Linked DNA regions of Stegostoma tigrinum. The protein of the gene in region 2 purifies or fractionates together with the protein of the main gene of each other region. This does not show direct contact. Links are inferred from orthologs where the notes say so. Each region holds a gene or a part of one and is shown on either strand. Other genes may lie near its edges.

The links. Proteins that work in one complex are often made in the same cells at the same time.
Region 1: the proteins of lztfl1 (region 2) and bbs7 purify together in Homo sapiens (affinity purification with mass spectrometry; 3 studies listed by BioGRID and IntAct, counting the BioPlex papers as one, with this or other methods). This does not show direct contact. The link is inferred for Stegostoma tigrinum from reciprocal best matches to the Homo sapiens genes LZTFL1 and BBS7.

The regions. Positions count from the first base shown.
Region 1 is NC_081354.1:36,654,489-36,661,943, reverse strand, and holds the start of bbs7 (Bardet-Biedl syndrome 7 protein), read right to left. Parts: upstream 3,034-7,455; 5' UTR 2,782-3,033; coding exon 2,746-2,781; intron 2,738-2,745; exon of another isoform or gene 2,643-2,737; coding exon of another isoform or gene 2,631-2,642; intron 1,611-2,630; coding exon 1,545-1,610; intron 1-1,544.
Region 2 is NC_081355.1:13,060,681-13,068,760, reverse strand, and holds the start of lztfl1 (leucine zipper transcription factor-like protein 1), read right to left. Parts: upstream 3,155-8,080; 5' UTR 3,042-3,154; coding exon 3,039-3,041; intron 1-3,038. UniProt on the Homo sapiens protein: Regulates ciliary localization of the BBSome complex. Together with the BBSome complex, controls SMO ciliary trafficking and contributes to the sonic hedgehog (SHH) pathway regulation. May play a role in neurite outgrowth. May have tumor suppressor function.

The DNA.
Region 1 (7,455 bases), on a different chromosome or scaffold from region 2:
ATTCCCAACTGCTCTTGTGAATACAGGATTTACATGGCTAAACCAGTTTAGTTTCAGGTCAGCTGTAACCCCAGGATGTGGACAGTCACAATTTTTGTCATGATGAGGTCATTGAATGCCAAGGGGAGATGGTTAAATTCTCCCATGTTAGAGATGATTGTTTCATGCCACATAAGTGCTTAGCATGTTACCACTAATCAACTCAAGCCTGGATGATGTCCAGGTCTTGTTGCATTTGCACGTGGACTATTTCAGTATCTCGAGTTGTGAATGCTGCTAAATGTCGTACAATTAGCAGCAACATCCCTATTTTTGACATTATGGTGGCAAAAAGATCATTGCTAAAACAGCTGAAGATTGTTGGGACTAAGGCATTAGCTTGAGGAACTAAGATCTCTGGAGTTACAGTGGATGTGTCCCGACCTCGAGCCGAGAGATCTGGGATCAAATGTCACCTGCTTTGAAAGTGTTTAATAATATCCCTGAACAGACTGATTGGAAAACACCTAAACTGAAAAACTCCTTTAATGTTACTCCAGGACTGAGATGATTGATCTCCGACAACAAGTGTCTTCCTTTGTATAAGACGTGGCTCTAATTCCCATTGAAGCCAGTTTTGCTGGGACATCTTGACACCACACACTGTCCTTAACATCAAGGCTGCACTTGATAATCACTCTGACCTCACCTCTAGAATTCAGCTCTTGTGACAATCTTGGGATCAAGGATGTAATAAGGTTAGGAGCTCTGTAGCCCGTGAGCAACTCAAACCAAGGTTCAACAAAAAGAATTTTCTAAGCAAGTGCCATTTGACAGCAGCGAGAGTGACCTCTCCAACGTTTTGTTCATGATGGAGAGAGGCCAAAAGGGCAGTAATTCAGTGAATTGGATTTATCCTTTGTGTGGACAGATCATAACTGGGAAATTTTCCACATTGGCAGCTACCTGGCAATGATGTAGACATAATGGAATGGTTTCATTAGGGGCACAGTTAAAACTGGTACCCAAGTCTTCAGCACAGTTGCTGGAACGTTGTCAGGGTCCGTAGCTTTTGCACTATCCATGCCTTCAGTCGCTGCTCAATATCACACGGGAGTGAATCAAATTAGCTGAAAACTAATTGGGACCTCAGGAGGACAACGAGATGAATTGTCTATTTGGCACTGCTGGGTGAAGATATATGCCATGGTTCAACCTTGTCTTTTTTTCCCCCACCACTGAGCTGGATTGAGATATTTGCAGACTGTCTTTCTCCAGTTCTTTTACTTGTCCAGCATCATTCACTGTTCATGTGATAGGCCTGCAGACTTTAGATATGATCACTTAGCTGTAAGATCTGTCTATTGTTTGGCCATTATAAAACTAAAATGCAAATTTCTACTTAAATATGCTTTCCAATAATGTCACAACATACAGTAAAAACATCCCTGCTGAGAAAACTACGTGGTGCTACATCAAGGATAGGACATCTTTTTTCCTTTCTCCCACACTTTTGCCTGGAACTGAAAAAACAAGTTACATGTGTTAACTTAATGTGAATTAACCTTTTGGATTGCTCTGCGTCCTGATGCAGGTAGCAGCCTCATGGTCTTTTGGGAAGTCACTCCTACCTAGGAGAAGAAAAAAGGGCTACTTACAGCAACATCACAACAAATAAACATTGATTATTCTAGTCCCTGAATGCACCACACTATGGGATGGGTCAAAGAAAAACTGGACCAACGTTAGTGTAACTGTAACACTCTACTAAAGTTTCACAAGCCCATTACAGATACAGGAGTCTTGATGCCCCAGTCTACTTCATACAACAGAAAAAAAATCACCCTTTATTAGACCATCCTAAATTTCTTGACAACTTTTTGCATCTTTACTGATCCTTTGTGTCATACATCCTTTCTCATCAGAAGAACTAGATTAGATTAGATTACCAACAGTGTGAATACAGGCCCTTCAGCCCAACAAGTCCACACCACCCCTTGAAGCACCCCACCCTGACCCATACCCCGATAACCCACACGCCCCTGAACACTATGGGCAATTTAGCATGGCCAATCCACCTAGCCTGCAAAATAACCATTATTGTGCTATCACCACAGTAAGTACAACTTTTGTAAGTTGGAAGTTACAATTGCTCTTTTGGGAGATAGGATTTTTGACTGGCTGTTAAAAAAATCTCAGCTAATGTGTGCAGGAGGATGATTTAATCACATCATTGAAATCAGAACAACAGTATCAAATTTATACCAACTTAATGTTTTCAAGTAGACACAATAATAGGACGTATACAGTAAAAGATTGCTAAGTTCAACATTTATATTTCTGAGCAATGGTCAACAAATCTGGCTCAGGAACAGGAACTTCCACTTCCTTCCAAAGTCAGTGTGCTAATTCCAGCGACCTTATCATCCCTCTGGTAATACAAACTGAAGATGAACTTTGGGACCAGGACATTGCTTGGAATTCTATTGCCTGAAATAATGGAGTTCACTTCACATAGATTTGTTAAGTATTACCTAACAGAAATTCTAAACATGAAACTAATTTGTTTACAAGACATTCTCTTCTCATGAAATCCAGCACTTGTGTAGCAATATGTATGCTAGTTTATCTTTACTAACTAAAATCTTTACCAACACTCCCATCCTCAAACGGCAAAGGTGTCAAAATTATTCTCCATCTACTGGATTTAACAGCTATTAGCGCCTCTTATTCCAACCCAGGTGATAACGGAATCACGTCTACAACCTGCAGGTAGTCAACGCGGTTTAAATTTAAATCCATGGACGCAGGAAATTCTTATTCTGTAAAGATTCCTAAAACGAGCGGATTGAGACGACGGCTGGGTCCGACTTTAAAACTATTACGGACAAAGCACCGGGAAAAAGACAACGCCGCATATGAAAATCATGCCAGAAATCGCTGGGCATTCAATGCATCAAACTGGGCGAAAAACAGCAACCAAACCCACAGACTACTTATTTATAAAACAACTCCTAAATCTGTACAAAACCACACAGGGGCCTGCTCATTCCGTTTCTATGGTAATCAAAGGCGTCTCAAACACCACACATCATTGGTTTTCGGAGATCGCACAGGCATTTAAACTCAGCGCTCATTGGCAGGGTCCGCTTCCCCAATCACTTCATGAAAGTGAAGGCGACATCCTTCTCAGAGTCAGGATTTTTTAAAAACCGTGACTTTCATTTATGTGAGAGATAATGGGAACTGCAGATGCTGGAGACTCCAAGATAACAAAATGTGAGGCTGGACGAACACAGCAGGCCAAGCAGCATCTCAGGAGCACAAAAGCTGACGTTTCGGGCCTAGACCCTTCATCTTATGTAGCTGCTTTCATGACCACCAGATGTCTCAAAGTACTTTATAACCAATGAAGCACTTTTTGAAGTTTGGTTACCGTTGCAATATAGGAAACATAGAAGCCAGTTTTCATCTTAAGATGCCAAGATTCAATGCAAAAGTTCATTTGGGCATAAGCAATTTATTTTGGTTTACATCATCTCTTGGCACAGAAGCCTTGTGCGGAACCACTCTGCATAGCTATGCTTCACTGAACCCAAACAGATAGAGAAAGTAGGCCTCCTGGAGTTGTACACAGTCTGTGAATTTTGATCTGATTTTTTTTGGGTGCAGCCTTTAGTCCTCCCTAAACATTTCCTAAGATTGCCCCATTTAAACTCTCTGTGTGACTGTTGGAGTCTGAGAGTTATTTCAAATCCTTGGGCATGGAGGTCGGAAGAAGTTCACTAGGTAGAAATTGGAAGGAGATAAAAACACCTCCATTTTGACCAGCTTTTTATTTTGCAGCAATCAAACTTCATATCAGTCCACTAAACCGCACGCACTAGCGGGAAAAGTCTGAGAAAATCATTATTTTAATCACCTTGTTCAGACATGTCCTGACACACCTCATGAGTTGGGTGGGTCTTGAACCTACACCTTCTTGTCCAGAGGTCCACTAGGGATACTTTCTCTGCCTTTATAAAAATTCTAAATCTAAGAAAATAGAGGGGCATTTCAGCCATTACCATACAGTTCAAGTTCCGTTCTGCCTTGGGAGCTTATGACACCAAGCGTATTTTAGAAACCCGATATAGAAAAGAACTTCTGTGGTTGTACTGTTTTTCAACTCTTCCATGTATAGTATTCATAAATGATTATCTCAGACTTTAGTGTTCACATGCAAAACGGGAGATGTGGTGTAAGTTACTCTGTTGTTCAGAGATGAATTGTGTAGGCTGATTTCTACTTTTTAATATTGGTTCTTCTGTTGTGAATGAGAATCTCAACTGGCATAAATTCCATCTTACTGCGAATACTGGTAAGGTTGCAACACTTCATCTTTTTCCTGATGAGAGGAACCTGTGTTTATTGTAATAATTTTGTAGACAATTTAATTTGTCTTGACACTAAAGATGCACTCTATCATGTTGTGTCACACTACCACTGTGTTAAATGTGTTGTATGTCAAACAGATCTAGCAAGTCAAAACTGGGTATCTATTGGAGGTGATAATGGGAACTGCAGATGCTGGAGAATCCAAGATAATAAAATGTGAGGCTGGATGAACACAGCAGGCCAAGCAGCATCCCATGAGCACAAAAGCTGACGTTTCGGGCCTAGACCCTTCATCAGAGAGGGGGATGGGGTGAGGGTTCTGGAATAAATAGGGAGAGAGGGGGAGGCGGACCGAAGATGGAGAGAAAAGAAGATGGGTGGAGAGGAGATAGGTCAGTCCACCTGCACATCTGCCAATGTGGTATACTGCATCCACTGTACCCGGTGTGGCTTCCTCTACATTGGGGAAACCAAGCGGAGGCTTGGGGACCGCTTTGCAGAACACCTCCGCTCGGTTCGCAATAAACAACTGCACCTCTCAGTCGCAAACCATTTCCACTCCCCCTCCCATTCTTTAGATGACGTGTCCATCATGGCCTCCTGCAGTGCCACAATGATGCCACCCGAAGGTTGCAGGAACAGCAACTCATATTCCGCTTGGGAACCCTGCAGCCCAATGGTATCAATATGGACTTCACCAGCTTCAAAATCTCCCCTTCCCCCACCGCATCCCAAAACCAGCCCAGTTCGTCCCCTCCCCCCACTGCACCACACAACCAGCCCAGCTCTTCCCCTCTACCCACTGCATCCCAAAACCAGTCCAACCTGTCTCTGCCTCCCTAACCTGTTCTTCCTCTCACCCATCCTTTCCTCCCACCCCAAGCCGCACCTCCATCTGCTACCTACTAACCTCATCCCACCTCCTTGACCTGTCCGTCTTCCCTGGACTGACCTATCCCCTCCCGACCTCCCCACCTATACTCTCCTCTCCACCTATCTTCTTTTCTCTCCATCTTCGGTCCACCTCCCCCTCTCTCCCTATTTATTCCAGAACCCTCACCCCATCCCCCTCTCTGATGAAGGGTCTCGGCCTGAAACGTCAGCTTTTGTGCTCCTGGGATGCTGCTTGGCCTGCAGTGTTCATCCAGCCTCACATTTTATTATCTATTGGAGGTGCTGACAGCCATCATCAGCAGAATAGTATTCAATCACAGCCTGTAACTCATGGACTAACCTATCCCCATTCCACCATAACCATTAAGCTGTGAGATCAACACTGGTTCAGTGAAGGGTACAAAAAACATTCCAGGAGGAGCACCTAGCATATCTAAAATTAAATTTTCAGCCTGGGAAAGCTAAAACATATACCATGCAGCAGAAGCAGCTGCAAGAGACCAAGCAAAGTAATTCCCACAAACAACAGATCTAGTGTCTGCATTCCTGCTTTTGTTCCAGCTGTGAATAATTAATAATTAAAGAACTAACAGGAGGCGGAGCAGCAGAAGCTTCACAAACACACCCATCTTCAATTCTGGAAGACCCAGCACATCTGTGTGAAAGACGAGGCTGAACCAATTTCATCTATATTTGTACTGCAGTGCTGAGTGAATGGTCTATCCCAGTTCTTCCCACAGATACCAGTCTTCAGCCAAATTGATTTACTCAGTAACAGCTTCCATCACCTCCCTGAAGATCAAAGATAGACTGGGAATGTAATATCGACTGGAAAAGTAATTGGCCAGATGGGATTTGTCCTTTTTTTGAACAAGTCCAACGATGTGGTCATTAGGTAGATTGGCTATGCTAGATTGTCCATAGTGTTCAGGGATTAACTGTTTGATAAAATGCAAGTTCTAAAGACACAGACTTGATTCTTCAGGGTCATCTGATATCTTAAGATATAGCACTGGTCATGGTTATACAGATGTGAGTATAACCTCAAGAATATAGTATGCTGTCATTATCAAGGAGGTAGCAATAGGGCATGGAGATAATTGTAATATAATAGGGCAGAATCAACATGGTTTTGTGCAACGCATAGCATTTTTAACAAGCTTGTGTGTTATTTGAAGATGTAACAGCCAGGGTGGACAGAGTGGTATCATTTCGGATTTCCAAAAGGCATTTGACAAGAACCACACAAGATAAAATGATTTGTGAGTGATACAACAGCACGGAAAGAGGCTGGGTAGCCAGAGAGAGCTGGGATAAATAGTGAAGTGCCATGGATCACCTCCGGGATCTTAACTTCTTACAATCTGCCTGTGACTTGAAGGGTCCAATTGCAGCCATGCTTTCTGACAACACAAGTTAGACAGGAAAGCTAGTCATGAAGATATAAAGAGGTATTAATTGGTGGGCAAAAGTTTGACATGAAGTGTGGGGCAAATTAGATTGTCCACGTCAGCTAGAAGAAAGGCAGAGTATTATTTAGAAGGAGGGAGACGGTAGAATGTTGCAGTGTAGTGGAATGTGGATGCTCTTTGACTCGAATTACAAAGGATCAGTTTGTAATTAGGAGGTAAAGATAACATTGGCCTTTATTACAAGGAAAATGAACTGTCAGGAAGTCTTGACACAGTTGTATCTGGCATTGGTGAGACTAGAACTACAGTATGTTTTTTGTCTTCTTAAGAGAAAAATACTTGCATTGGAAGCAGTTGAGAGAATATTCATAATGAGAGAATATTCATAAGACAGATGCCTTCATCTAAGGAATCAGACTAATGAGGAAATGTTGAGCAGGTTGGGTCTGTGCTCATTTTAAATTAATAATATGGGGGTGCCAGTGTTGGAGTGGGACACACAAAGTCAGAAGTCACATGATACCAGGTTATAGTCCAGCAGGATTATTTGAAATCACTAGTTTTTGGAGCACTGCTCTTTTGTCAGGTGACTTCTTATATTACAATTGTCGACATGTTCTATTGTTACCTCCTTGTTAACACTCCTTGGTCAATATCAATGTGAGTATAAACTATGACCAGAACTATATTTCAGAAGATATCAACATTCCTGAAGAATCAAGTCTCTAGGACTTGATCGAGCAAGGTCCCAGATTTGTTTCCTGCACTGGGCAACTGTTTGTGTGCACTTTAC
Region 2 (8,080 bases):
AAAGTAAATAATAGCATGGAAAAGATGGAGAGGAATGCAATCAGCTACCTACCTTCCCCCAACCCCACCACACCTCAAGCCCACCGACTCCCACAGCTACCTAGAATACACCTCCTCCCACCCACCCTCCTGCAAAAATTCCATCCCCTATTCCCAATTCCTCCGCCTCCGCCGCATCTGCTCCCACGACAAGACATTCCACTCCCGCACATCCCAGATGTCCAAGTTCTTTAAGGACCGCAACTTTCCCCCCACGGTGATCGAGAACGCCCTTGACCGCGTCTCCCGCATTTCCCGCGACACATCCCTCACACCCCGCCCCCGCCACAACCGCCCCAAGAGGATCCCCCTCGTTCTCACACACCACCCTACCAACCTCCGGATACAACGCATTATCCTCCGACACTTCCGCCATTTACAATCCGACCCCACCACCCAAGACATTTTTCCATCCCCTCCCCTGTCTGCTTTCCGGAGAGACCACTCTCTCCGTGACTCCCTTGTTCGCTCCACACTGCCCTCCAACCCCACCACACCCGGCACCTTCCCCTGCAACCGCAGGAAATGCTACACTTGTCCCCACACCTCCTCCCTCACCCCCATCCCAGGCCCCAAGATGACATTCCACATCAAGCAGAGGTTCACCTGCACATCTGCCAATGTGGTATACTGCATCCACTGTACCCGGTGCGGCTTCCTCTACATTGGGGAAACCAAGCGGAGGCTTGGGGACCGCTTTGCAGAACACCTCCGCTCAGTTCGCAAAAAACAACTGCACCTCCCAGTCGCAAACCATTTCCACTCCCCCTCCCATTCTCTTGATGACATGTCCATCATGGGCCTCCTGCACTGCCACAATGATGCCACCCGAAGGTTGCAGGAACAGCAACTCATATTCCGCCTGGGAACCCTGCAGCCATATGGTATCAATGTGGACTTCACCAGTTTCAAAATCTCCCCTTCCCCTACTGCATCCCTCAACCAGCCCAGTTCGTCCCCTCCCCCCACTGCACCACACAACCAGCCCAGCTCTTCCCCCCCACCCACTGCATCCCAAAACCAGTCCAACCTGTCTCTGCCTCCCTAACCGGTTCTTCCTCTCACCCATCCCTTCCTCCCACCCCAAGCCGCACCCCCCGCTACCTACTAACCTCATCCCACCTCCTTGACCTGTCCGTCTTCCCTGGACTGACCTATCCCCTCCCTACCTCCCCACCTACACTCTCTCCACCTATCTTCTTTACTCTCCATCTTCGGTCCGCCTCCCCCTCTCTCCCTATTTATTCCAGTTCCCTCCCCCCATCCCCCTCTCTGATGAAGGGTCTAGGCCCGAAACGTCAGCTTTTGTGCTCCTGAGATGCTGCTTGGCCTGCTGTGTTCATCCAGCCTCACATTTTATTATCTTGGAATCTCCAGCATCTGCAGTTCCCATTATCTCTCTCTCTCTCCCACCACACCTCCCTCTTTATTTCCCAGCTCCCTTACTCCTCCCCAGTCCTGATCTGATATGTCAACATTCTTTCTCCTGACCAGCTTGTGTTTCTCCACCTCCACAGTGTATTGACTCTGAACACCTGAAACTTTTCCAAGTTCTGAACACACAAGATTGAGCTGAAAAGTTAACTGTGTTTCCCTCCCATAGATGCTGCCAGTGTGTTTCAGCATATTGAACATTTCAGCTTTTTTACAAAAAAAGATTTTTACAGTCTTTCCCTCATCTCTTAACACGAGCAACACTGACAGCTGCCCATTCACACAGACATGGTAGGGGTGGTACTGCCCACCAGAATCCCCGCTCCATTGAAAGGACACCCCATCTTGGGGTCCACTCTAGGGGGAGTGAGGGAGGCAAGACTGCGGGGGTGAGGAAGAGGAGGGAGGGGCAAAGACGGCGGGGCGAGGAGGAGGAGGAGGAAGAAAGACGGCAGGAGCGAGGAGGAGGAGTAGTGAAGACAGTAGGGTGGGGAAGGAGGAGTGAAGAGGGTGAAGGCAGGCATTGGGAAGTGGGTGAAGGCGGGCATCTGGGGAAGTGGGTGGGGGGGGCGCGTGGGGAAGTGGGTGAGGGGGTGGCGTGGGAAAGTGGGTGAGGGGGTGGCGTGGGGAAGTGGGTGAGGGGGGGGCGTGGGGAAGTGGGTGAGGGGGGGGGCGTGGGGAAGTGGGTGAGGGGGGGGCGTGGGGAAGTGGGTGAGGGGGGGGCGTGGGGAAGTGGGTGAGGGGGGTGGCGGTGTGGGGAAGTGGGTGGGGGGGTGGCGGTGTGGGGAAGTGGGTGGGGGGGTGGCGGTGTGGGGAAGTGGGTGAGGGGGGGGCGGTGTGGGGAAGTGGGTGAGGGGGGGGGCGGTGTGGGGAAGTGGGTGAGGGGGGGGCGTGGGGAAGTGGGTGAGGGGGTGGCGTGGGGAAGTGGGTGAGGGGGTGGCGTGGGGAAGTGGGTGAGGGGGGGGCGTGGGGAAGTGGGTGAGGGGGGGGCGTGGGGAAGTGGGTGAGGGGGGTGGCGGTGTGGGGAAGTGGGTGGGGGGGTGGCGGTGTGGGGAAGTGGGTGAGGGGGGGCGGTGTGGGGAAGTGGGTGAGGGGGCGGTGTGGGGAAGTGGGTGAGGGGGGGGCGTGGGGAAGTGGGTGAGGGGGGGGCGTGGGGAAGTGGGTGAGGGGGGGGCGTGGGCAAGTGGGTGGGGGGGGCGTGGGGAAGTGGGTGGGGGGGGCGTGGGGAAGTGGGTGAGGGGGGGGCGTGGGGAAGTGGGGGGGGGGCGTGGGGAAGTGGGTGGGGGGGGCGTGTGGGGAAGTGGATGAGGGGGTGGCGGGGGGCATGGGGAAGTGGGTGAGGGGGGGGAAGTGGGTGAGGGGGGGGGAAGTGGGTGAGGGGGGGGGAAGTGGGTGAGGGGGGGGAAGTGGGTGAGGGGGGGGAAGTGGGTGAGGGGGGGGGAAGTGTGGGGAAGTGGGTGAGGGGGGGGCAGTGTGGGGAAGTGGGTGGGAAGTTGGGTGTAACGCGAAGGGGAAGAATTGCTTCAGGACCGGCACAGCCTTGATGTCTCTAACATTGCACCCACCATATCGTCGTACAGGAAGAGCGCGGTCCCGACGGCAATGCCGCTGTAATACACAGAGGGTATGGATCCTCCTCCTGCCACCAGGCCCGGCCTGGACCGCCAGACTCATCACCAAGGAAACGGCGCGCGTCACGCGGCCGCGCCCACGTGACTGGAGCCCCCCCCCCACACGCACGTGAGCACACGCACTCAGCCCGAGCCTCCCTCAGCTCGTTTTGTAATATTAAAAAACTAAACATGTCACAACGTATTACTTGAATACCAGCACGAGTTTCGAAAAAGTGAACTTGAACCAGGTAGTGCTACACTTGCCCCCACACCTTCTCCCTCACCCCCATCCCAGGTCTCAAGATGACATTCCACATTAAGCAGAGGTTCACCTGCACATCTGCCAATGTGGTATATTGTATCCATTGTACCCGGTGCGGCTTCCTCTACATTGGGGAAACCAAGCGGAGGCTTGGGGACCGCTTTGCAGAACACCTCCGCTCAGTTCGCAAAAAACAACTGCATCTCCCAGTCACAAACCATTTCAACTCCCCCTCCTATTCCTTAGACGACATGTCCATCCTGGGCCTCCTGCAGTGCCATAATGATGCCACCCGAAGGTTGCAGGAACCCTGCAGCCCAATGGTATCAATATGGACTTCACAAGCTTCAAAATCTCCCCTTCCCCCACTGCATCCCAAAACCTGCACCACACAACCAGCCCAGCTCATCCCTTCCCCCCACTGCATCCCAAAACCAGCCCAGCCTGTCTCCGCTTCCCTAACCTGTTCTTCCTCTCACCCATCCCTTCCTCCCACCTCAAGCCGCAACTCCATTTCCTACCTACTAACCTCATCCCGCCGCTTTGACCTCTCTGTCCTCCCCAGACTGGCCTATCCCCTCCCTACCTCCCCACGTATACTCTCCACCTATCTTCTATTCATCTTCGGTCCCCCTCCCCCTCTCTATTCAAGAATCCTCTCCCCATCCCCCTCTCTGATGAAGGGTCTAGGCCCGAAACCTCAGCTTTTGTGCTCCAAAGATGCTGCTTGGCCTGCTGTGTTCATCCAGCTTTACACTTTGTTATCATGAACCAGGTGGAGTCAGGGAAGGGGACTGTGACAAACCCCAGCTACACTCCGTCTCCTCTGCTAACTGGATCTTGGAAGTGAATCAGTATCCCTCAGCCAGATTCCGATGACCAGCATTGCAGATAGTCTCATCCATCCCAAGATGCCAACTATCATTTTAGTGCTACTTTCTGTTGAAGGAACAGCCTTCTGTTAGCCTGGATCTTTCACTGATGGGCTGGCAATGTAGAGTTGAGCATCCGACACGACAGTCTGTGCGTGGCTGAACACCAGTGATTTTCTCGCAACCAGTTCATTTGACAATGTGTGAACTAGGAAGTTGGGGCTTAGCACCAAATGTTTCTCCTTGTCTTTCCACTTCCCCTCAGGAGACAGATGTAGCAGATTTTTCACCAGAGACACCTTAAGCTTCCCCATAAGTACTGATTACAGTCTCCACTCTCACCACACTACACTTCTCCCTATCAAAGTCACTCCAGCAAATGAGAGCTTGCAATGTATAGCACTGACGCAAGCAAAAATATTACTTGCTTTCACAGAGATAGGAAGCCAGGATTTTAATTTTTCTTTAAAAAAAGAAGCTCTACTTGCTGGAGAAACTCGACAGGTCTGGAAGCATCTGTACAGAGAAAGCTATCAGTGAAGGATCACTAGACCTGAATCATTGACTCTGCTTTTTCTTCACAGATGATGCCATACTTGCTGAGTTTCTTCCAGCAAATTTTGTTTTTGTTTCAGATTTCCAGCATCAGAAGTTTTTTTTTGGCAAAAGTGAAAAGCAAAAAATTATAAACTTTTGCTATCTTGAATCCCATGAGAACGATTCCCTGCAATAGAAGTAACACATTGGTGTAGGATTTAGAGACCAGAGGAATCATTCAATATATGAGGAGATTACAAGAGCTCTTGTGGTGTAGTGGTAGTGTCTGTAACTCTGAGCTAAGAGACCTGGATTCAAGTCTTGCCTACTTCCAAGGCATGTAATAACATCTCTAAATGGGTTTATTGAAAAATAATTTACAAGGAGACCATTCAGTCCATTGTGCCTGTGCAAGCTTTTCCAAATACTATCTTATGATTGCTGGATACATTTTGTCAAAACATTTATACTATTCAATTGGTCCAAATCCTCCACTCTTTCTCTTTTTTATGTTTTCTAGTGTACATGCAATTTTTTTTATGAAAGTTACAATCGCATCTACTTCAACCACCATTTTAGTTAGAATAGTCCAGATCATAGCAACTCACAGCAAAAGAAAATCTCCTGCCACGTTTTGCTCTTTAGATAATTATCTTAAATTTGCACCGGCTGGTATACAATACTCTTTTCTCCCTATTTATTCTATCAAAAATTTTTATGATTCTGAACACCTGTAAAACAGTTCATGCAGTTTCTCCTGTGGTGCAGTTGTAATGTCCCTAACTCTCAGCCAGGAGGCCCAGGCTAAGAACCCACCTTCTCCAAAGGTGTGTAGTGAGACCCGTAAGCAGTTTGAGTAAAATAAATATACCAAATCTAGTTGTTCCCTGAGGAGACTGTCAAGGTCATTTGGCAGAATGCCTCATAACCAGAATTTTCCAACAAACTCTGAGACATCGCTCGGCTAGTGCTGAGAAGGACATTACCTGTGGGATCTTTCATGTATATCTCGATTCTCTGCATCAGTGCACACTGCTTTTAAGGCAGCTGCAGATGGTGGGGCGAGGTGGGTAGACACTATCATCCATTTCCTTCTGGAATGTACCTTTGCAAAGGATGTCTGGAGAAAGTTGCAAAAGTTTTTGTCAAGATTTGTCCCAAGCAAATCTGTGAGGTAGGTCTCCGTGTTCTACAGTCTATTCCCGGGATGCACACTGAGACAAAGTAAAAAACAGAAAATGGTGGAAACTCTTGGAAAGCATTCAGCAATTTTGGAAAGAGAAACTGAATTAACGTGTCAGGTTGTGACCTTTCATCAAAAATACAATTGACTGGCTATAGGTTTTTATTCCCAAAACCTCTGTGGATTCTGGTAACTCTGAGCTGTGCTGTGTGGAATCTCTATTCAGGCAGTGGCCAGGTCGTAAACAGTTCCATTCCTGAGTCTATTCACAAGTCAATTTGTATGCAAGTAAGAATACAATACAGGACAATATCAAGCAGCCATAGTTAAGTACAGGAAAAGTTCATATGTCAGATATTTAAAATTAAACCACTGAGTGGGATCACCTTCACGAGTAAGAGCATTTGTCAGTCAAATGTTCATAAATTGGGAACCCCTGTATGTGATTCAACACTTCCTATGCTACAGTGACTAATTGTTGTTTCCTGATTTAAACTGTCTTGTCCTTCTGCTCTTTTCAATGTCACCTGTATATCCATTGGGATTCCACTGCAGATGTAGGACACCAATTCCACTGTAAAGTGCCAATGCTGTGGTCACCGATTGTTAGGGTTGTTAGAAATGGGCTTCAAATTAAAACATTCTAAATCAGAGGTGGGAATTTTATCAATGGCCACTCTGGTTGAACATGGGTATCCAGGTGGATGCCAACTCAGGCTTTATAAACCATAGTGTAGCCACCACTCTGTTGAGGAAATGAAACCAGATGGGAGACAGACATGAGAGCAACAAATCAGAACAGCAGCAGGGATTCTGAATTAGGTCAGTGGAAGTTTAATATCTGTTAGTTGCAATCACATTGTATTGAAAGATGTTTAAAAACTATAAGTGGGCTGTACAGAGTTGATAGGGAGAGCCTATCCCTGCTCATAAAAAAGAATGAGACGACTTAAAGTGTTGTGCAAATGAAGTTAGAAAGTGAGTAACAAACATTTACAAACAGTAGTAAGGGTGTGCAAATGTGATGAAAACATGTTCAAGAAAGCCATTTAAGAGGGCACTGGATGATTGCTTAGATAGAAATGGTTTGCAGGAATGTGGGCGGAAAGGCAGGAGATTGGCACTATGTAATAGAACGAGTACCAGCATGTTTGGCAGACTCACCTCTTTCTATGCCATAACGATCCTGTGATTCTGTAATGTCAATCCTCAGTATACTTCTCTGTTGGAAAGGCAAATCAGGGCAGGATTTATAGACTGAATGGTAAGGTCCTGGTGAGTGTTGCTGAACAAAGAGACCTTGGAGTCTAGGTTCATAGTTCTTTAAAAGTGGCGATGCAGGTAGATAGGACAGTGAAGAAGGCGCTTGGTATGCTTGCGTTTATTGGTCAGTGCATTGAGTATAGGAGTTGGGAGATCATGTTGCAGCTGTACAGGACATTGGTTAGGCCACTTTTGGAATACTGTGTACAATTCTGGTCTCCCTGGTCTGGGAAGGATGTTGTGAAACTTGAAAGGGTTCAGAAAAGATTTACAAGGATGTTGCCAGGGTTGGAGATGTGTGATCCTGTTCAACAGCAACCGAGATTGGTAAGTGGCAAATAAAGCCTCTTTATTGAGCATCTGCAGTGCCATAGTTTGGGGCAGCAATGGAATCCAAATTACAGTTTTACCGTAGCCTCTTTATACACAGTTTTTACATGCATTAAAATTTTAGCACTATGCTGTACATGGTTGTATTTATTGTACACAATTTTGTGTGACAACTGGGTTGGGGAAGCAGGAGATAGTTAAGTGTTTGTGAAATGTTGACTGTTACTCCTGATGGGATTAGAATGTCTATCCAGTCGGAGCTTGCATAATTAAGAGGTGAGGCCTTTTGTCTTTAAAGTTAGTAATGTTAGTGAAAAATATTAGTCCTATATGATCTAAATAAGTGAGAAATTATATGTGTACTAAATAAAGTTATAGAGGATATTAAACTGATCTCCTGTAGCTGGGTCATGAGATTTCATCCCACTATTGCTGTTTTTTGACAGTTTCTACACATTCATTCATCCAGTTTCATGAAAGCACTCTTTTGACTGTAAGTTTGTTAAAGAGGGTAGCAGCTCTATTTAACATGTATTTAAAAAGTATA